Callithrix jacchus: one gene and its partner. The protein of the gene in region 1 purifies or fractionates together with the protein of each later gene. This does not show direct contact. Links are inferred from orthologs where the notes say so. Each region holds a gene or a part of one and is shown in the gene's direction. Other genes may lie near its edges.

What was found. Proteins that work in one complex are often made in the same cells at the same time.
Region 2: the proteins of FBXW9 (region 1) and SKP1 purify together in Homo sapiens (affinity purification with mass spectrometry; 6 studies listed by BioGRID and IntAct, with this or other methods). This does not show direct contact. The link is inferred for Callithrix jacchus from reciprocal best matches to the Homo sapiens genes FBXW9 and SKP1.

Annotation. Positions count from the first base shown.
Region 1 is NC_133523.1:11,507,798-11,510,333, reverse strand, and holds the end of FBXW9 (F-box/WD repeat-containing protein 9), read left to right. Parts: intron 1-815; coding exon 816-964; intron 965-1,051; coding exon 1,052-1,165; intron 1,166-1,294; coding exon 1,295-1,384; intron 1,385-1,469; coding exon 1,470-1,535; intron 1,536-1,616; coding exon 1,617-1,691; 3' UTR 1,692-2,018; downstream 2,019-2,536. UniProt on the Homo sapiens protein: Substrate-recognition component of the SCF (SKP1-CUL1-F-box protein)-type E3 ubiquitin ligase complex.
Region 2 is NC_133503.1:74,158,267-74,162,471, forward strand, and holds the start of SKP1 (S-phase kinase-associated protein 1), read left to right. Parts: upstream 1-1,347; 5' UTR 1,348-1,460; intron 1,461-1,562; exon of another isoform or gene 1,563-1,702; intron 1,703-3,899; exon of another isoform or gene 3,900-3,952; intron 3,953-4,205. UniProt on the Homo sapiens protein: Essential component of the SCF (SKP1-CUL1-F-box protein) ubiquitin ligase complex, which mediates the ubiquitination of proteins involved in cell cycle progression, signal transduction and transcription.

The DNA of each region.
Region 1 (2,536 bases):
TTTTCTTTCTTTTTTTTTTTTTTGAGATGGAGTCTTACTCTAGCCTGTTGCCCAGGCTGGAGTGCAGTGGCATGAACTCGGCTCATTGCAGCTTCTGCCTCCGGGGTTCAAGTAATTCTCCTGCCTCAGCCTCCCAAGTAGCTGGGATTACAGGTGCCTACTACCATGCCCAGCTAATTTTTGTATTTTTAGTAGAGATGAGGTTTCATTATGTTGGCCAGGCTGGTCTTGAACTCCTGGCCTCACATCCACCCACCTCTGCCTCCCGAAGTGCAGGGATTACAGGTGTGAGCCACTGCGCCTGGCCATTTTTCTTTTTTTCTAAAATAGAGACGGGGTCTTGCCACATTGCCCAGGCTGGTCTTGAACTCCTGGGCTCAGGTGATCTGCCCATATCAGCCTCCCAAAGTACTGAGATTACAGGTGTGAGCCACTGTGCCTGGCCTATATTCATTCTTATTTTGTTTAATTGAAGGGCCCGTGTACCTTGTCCAGGCAGAGCTGGAGCAGGGCTGTGGGGTAGAGGTGTGTTTCAGGCCAACCTGAGGGCAGATGCAAGACTGAGACCACCTTGGTCAGCTCCGTGCTGAGAACAGTAGCTGAGACTGGAGGAGGGCTATGGGATGGGGACAGGGATGGGCAGAGGCCTGGATTTAGCTGAGGCAGGAAAGGAGAGATGGGTCACTCTGTGGAGTGGGGGAATGAGCAGATCAAGGGTTTTGCCAGACAGAATGGAGACCCAGGATGCTCCCCTGGGCTGGGGGGACCTTTGAGGGGCTCTGATTTCCCTCCTCCCTGGCCCATTGCCCATGAAGCCGGCCCAGCCCTGTTGAAGAGCCAGCGACTACACTCTAGCCCTGTGTTGGCCCTGCTGGCAGATGACCAGCACATCATCTCAGGCAGCGAGGACCGCACCCTGGTGGTGGTTGACCGCCGAGCCAACAGAGTCCTGCAGCGGCTGCAGGTGGGCCCTCTCCAGGGGCCTGGAGGGATGGGGATGGTCACAGGCCCAGTCTGGCCTGAGCTGCCATGTCCCTTGTCCCTCTCACAGCTGGACTCCTACCTGCTCTGCATGTCCCACCAGGATATGCAGCTCTGGACTGGTGACAACGAGGGCCTGCTGCACGTCTTCGCCAACCGCAACGGCTGCTTCCAGCATGTCCGGGTCTGCTGGGGCTCCTGCCCCTGTCCATCCCTCCCCTTCAGGCCTCCTTCCTACCCCTGGGCCCCCGGTGGTGTTGGGGGGTGCAGTAGGGAGAGGCCCACCTGAGTGTCGCCTGACCTCCTCCCGCAGTCCTTCAACGTGGGCCACAGGTCTCACATCACTGGGATCCAGTACTCACTGGGAGCCTTGTATACTGCATCCACTGACAAGACCCTCCGGGTGAGGCTCCTGCCCAGCCCCTGCCCTCCCCACCTCCATCAGCCAGGGGCACCCCTCTTGACCTTGGCCCGTTGCCCCTCACCAGGTGCACGTGCCCACAGACCCACCAAGGACCATCTGCACCCGAAGGCACGACAATGGGTTCACCAAGGTAAGGTCCTGCCCCACGTGCCCTGCCCAGCTGGCCAGAATGCCACTGTCCCTGACTCCTCATGTCCCTGTCCCCTCCCAGGTCTGTGCTGAGGGCAACCTGGTGGTGGCTGCCTCTGGGGGCCTGTCGCTAGAGGTCTGGAGGCTGCAGGCCTGAGCAGGTGGACATGGATGTGGATACTGCCGGCTGGTGGCTGGGCCTCGGCCTCTGTTCTTGGGGGACCATCCCCAACATTGGTGCTGCCTGTCTCCCCCACAGGGCCTAGGGCACAAGGAGTCCTGGCCACATTCGGGTGAAGGTTCTGGTCTGGGCCCTATGCATACGGGGTTGAAGTTGGGATTCAGGCCCACCCAGGGGGCTGCTCCCTACCCTAGGGCCCTGGTTTTTTTTGTGGGAAGGGGGGGCCTGGTTTTGTTATGATTTGGATGTACCGCTCTCAGGTGAGAGTGAAAGAGAAATAAACCTGACGTGTTGGTGCTTGGACCTGCAGTATGAGTGTGGTTTGCCCGCCGGGGCTTGGCCTGAGCCTGCTTGGGGCTTGGGGGGCTGCAGGCCTGTGTGGGAGTGACTGGGAGAGATTACAAGGCTGGGCTAGGGGGTGCCTGCCAGCTGCTGCTGTGCATTTGTTTGAAGAGGCAGAGTCCTGAAGACTGTGAGCACCTGTGTCTATGATGTCACTTCTGTGTGTGCGACATATGACGTGTAGATTAGGACTCAAATCCTTGACATTTGTTTGCATGGTGGGAGAGGGCACCTGCTCAGGCTCCCATGGGTGCTGGGGAGGGCAAGAGGGACAATGTGCTCTCCACTGGGGCTCCAGGGTGTGTGTGTGTGCTGCTGTGACTGTGACCCTGGGGGCAGGCCAGGGAGGAGGCTGGGCCAGGTGTGCGCCTGGCCCCTGCAAGCCCAAAGTCCCTCTGGTCTGCCATCTCAGCCCGGCCCAGCCATGCCCTGAGAATTATTCACTTCATGTTTATTGAGGCCCCCTGGTCTGCTCAGGC
Region 2 (4,205 bases), on another chromosome or scaffold:
GTACCACCATGCATGCCATAGGCAGGGGAGCAAAGGGGCTCCAGTGGGCCCTGCCTAGGAGGCCTGAAGCTGGAGCTGCTGAGGGCACGGCTGTGCTGCACAGAAAAAGTCTGAGAGCTGCAGGCCTTTCATCTTCTGTCATCAGCTGTGGCACCTGGCAGACACTGGATACCACGGGTTGTAGACAAAGACTTGGTAACTCAAAGAGCTGCTTGGCCTTCCTACCCCGTCCTGTCCCAGAGGCACTGTACGTCTCTGGTTTCTTCAAGGGGCCCTGTGTGGAAGTATCTTTTGTCTTTCTTTTGTCAGGGATACCATCACGTGCCTGATGGCTAGGTGAGCCTGGCGCCCAGTCTCCTAGGGCGGGGAGGGTAATGTTCCCGAGCAGGGCGGGTTGGGGCTTTCAAACTACTCCCTTTCCTTTATAGCTGGCTTCATCCTATCATAGCTTCACCTCATCATAGCTTTCCTAGGAGCACCCCAGACAAAACAGTTCTGTCCAGGCTGGGCCCTGGCCGCCTGGTTCACTGAATCCCCAACACCACGCCTCGCATGCAGGGCTCAAAGTATGTTTAGTGAGTGGATACCTATTGCTAGATGGAGGCCTTCTCTCTAAATTTGTGGTTTCTCTACAACGATGGCTATTTTTGGCATGGAAGCCTCTTCAGAAGTCAGTAGGAGGAAATAAGGGCTAAGAGCACCTAAGTCTAAAGGTTCAAATCCTAGCTCTGTCACTTAACCGTTCCGAACCTGTTCCCTCACTGTAGATGCGAAAAAGCTATCACTATTTCACCTCGGAAGGTTACTGTGAAGATTGAAGGCTGGAGAAGATGTATCACTTCAGTAGTAAAACACACACAAGCGCCCCCACCCCAGGAATAAACCCCCGCGCGGACACACACACATACACTTCAGGAATAAACACACGCGCGTACACACACACACACACAGCCCCTCCAGGAATGAACACACAAGCGCGCGCACACGCCCCGTTTTGTTGTTCCCAGGAACACACACATAGGCGTAGGCACACGCCCCGTTTTGTTTTTTCCACGCTTTTTAACTAGGGTCTTTCACTTGGCTTAGGGCACCCCTGCCTGAAAGACCTTTCTAGGCCAGCTGGAGCTCGGCACCCAGTTGAGGAGAGAGCGCGGCGCTTTCAGGACTGGGAAAAGGCGAAAGCTCTCCCGGCTCCCCGGCTCCCCAGCCCTTCGGCCCGCCGCCTCCCGGCCTGGGCCCGCCCCGCCATCCCCGGCCTACAGTCAGGCGATGTCCGTGGCCAGCCCAGCCTCTGTGTGACGCCGCGCGCCCCGGGGTCCTTAGCGCCTGCGCGCTCTCCTATAAAGCAGACGCTGCGCCGCGCTTCTGTAGTGGCTTGGTCCCTAGCCTTTCTCTTCCTTCGGGGAGGCCTTGCGGCTCTCGTCAGCCTCCGGCCAGCAGTCTCCTTAACACCGAACACCGTGAGTAGTCGCCCGCTGAGCTGGAAAAGGTTGTGGCGCCCGGATTGCGTGCTGGTTGGCCTCACCATTGCGGTTTGGGCCTGCCTGCGGCGGGCGGTGACTGGGCCTGGCCTTCACTCGGGCCGGGTGGATCGCGTATCGACCCTGTTCTTCAGGAGACACAGTCGGGTCCCATTCACCCGCCCCGCCCCCTAGTCAGCGAGGCCTTCTGTGGCCGCGCGTCCTCACGGCGCTCCTTGAGTGTGAGTCGAAGCCCGGGCTGGGCCTTCTCTGCACCGGCCGTGCGTCAGCCGCCGCAGAGCTCAATTGCAAGGCCCAGACTGCGGTCGGAGGCCTCCCTTGGCCTTAGGCCTGTTGTCCTGAGGACCAGGGCGGGGGTGGCGGCGGGGTTGTGAATGGGGGTCCCTTGGCTGTCTTGAGCGTGGGCGTGTGTCGGTGTCTGGTTTTTGTTGTCGTCGGGAGGGAGAGCGGTGGTGGTGGTCTGAGGCCGCCCGGTTCCTGGCTCCCATCCTTTCACTCCCGTGTCTGGCGTCACTAGCTACCGGTCCTGGCTAGCCGTGTGCGGGCTCCGGGTCTCTGCACATAGCCACTTGCTCCTTCTAAATATTTATCCGCGTTATGTTGCCACTACTTGGAGTCGTTGAAATAACTGTTGTGATAGCAGATACTATCGTCATAGTGGTGTGACTTGTAGGAGCCTGTAAATTCGACGTGTCTGGCTTTTAAAGATATAGGACGTCTACCTGCTCTGGTTCACTTTTAATGGAAACTTCACGTTTGGGTTTTAGGGGCATGCATTTTTCGTCAGAGCGTCAAATAGAATGTATCTGTATCATAGAACAATACAGTCTCCTCCACTGCAGTCTAAAAAGAGGTGTCCGAGTTTCGGGTCACCTAAAACGCAGGTTCCCCCCCCCATGATGTGATAGAACCCACTTTATACTGGCCATGGAGAATTATTTACAAGTGCCAGGAGCCTTTAGGCCTCTTTTTTAGAATGGAATTGTTTTGAAAGCATTTCAAATTAGAATTTCATCCATTACTTAAAAATTTAGCACTTACTTTAGCACCAAAACTTATCTTTGAGTTTAGTCTAGTATTACAAAGTGCATCGAATTACAGATTAACCGATTGCCTACCTGCTGTTTAGTAAGATCTCAACTCCCTTAAGAGTAACCCAATCCACGAATTTGACTGTGACTAAGCACTTATCTTGAGTTATTTGAAAGAAATATGAAACGGTTGTCTTGCTTTTAGAGTAATTTTACCAACTTCATTGTTAGACGTGGTTCTGTACTGTTCATTTCAGTACTATGTAATATAAAAATTACACGTTTAAATGTTTTGTAATTAAAAATTGGGCCCACGTTAAAATATTTTCTTTTGGAGATACCTATTGTCTTGTCACAGGAAGGGTCCTCTACTCTGGGCCCTTCTCCATTGAGCGGGACAACTGCATTATTGGCAAGCACTAAGCAACATGGAGAAGCAGACATGTCTGTGAACTGCAAAGTGAAATCTGATTCTCTCCAACCATGGATGAGTGAGAGTAGGGTATTTTAGTGACTGGGTTTAAAACATGCTTTACTTTTTTGCTTCCTTTGCCTAACAGCCTGTCTGCTTTGGGATTGGGGACAATTGTCTCAGAGAAGCTGAATGAATATTTTAACTGATGTAATAGGTTATAAGTCTTTGAACATAAAACGGGTGTGATGTATGTTTTAAAAGCCAAATCATACACTTTTGTGAAAATATATGCAGTTTTTAATACATAACACCTAAAAAGCTTCAGAGGTGCTATAAGTTAATAGTGATATCACCGGATTATGAATACTTCAGAAGCATGGGTCTTTTGAAAGTTGTATGTGAATTTTAAGAGGCCTTGAATTAAGCTGTACCGGGTATTGCTATACTCTTGTTGTTGTTTGTATGTTTTCCTTTTTTTTTTTTTAGAATTTGAAGATGGTAAGAAATTGTTGGACTTTTAATTTTAAAACATAAAATTAAATTTAAAGCATAAAAGAGGTTATTAATACCTATTTTTAGATTGCATTCCAGCCTGGGCAATAGAGCAAGATTCCTGTTCTCTCTCCCCCTTTCTCTTTCTCTTTAAAAATAAATAAATAAATGCCTTTTTTTTTTTTTTGCCAGAACTTAAGTCCTTTGAAATTAATTGCTTAACTTTTCATGTAAGATTGTATCTTTTTCCTAATGACTCATCATTAATCTGAGTTAATGCATGCATTTTCAGAGCAAGTAATAGGTTGTTATTATGGAGATCTTGCTGAGAGATTTCAAAGATGGTTGCCTAGACAGTCAGTACTGAAAGATAAAAAGGGCCCTGAATTTAAGCTTCCTACTAGATTTAGGGAATTGTACTCACATCTGCTTATCTTTAAATTATTTTATTCTTTTGTATATGGTCTTGCATTGCCTCAGACATAAATGAGCATATTCTGATCTACTCTTGGGATCTGAACTCATTTTCACAGGTAGGTCTCACTGCAGGGGAAATTTCTATTTTATTTGGTAGCCTTGTTTATTTTCAACTGACCTTCCTTAGGTTTGCATGTGGTTAATTGTGGCAGTTAACTATTCAAATGGACTAGTTCAGTATTCAGTGGGAGATGAAAGACAGGCAGAAAGCAAATAAGTATGTTTTATTAAATTTATACCAATAGTGAGTTCAGTGGGGCAGGCCTTAAAAGCTGCTGTTCCTAGTAGTTTGAAAAAATTTCATAGAAA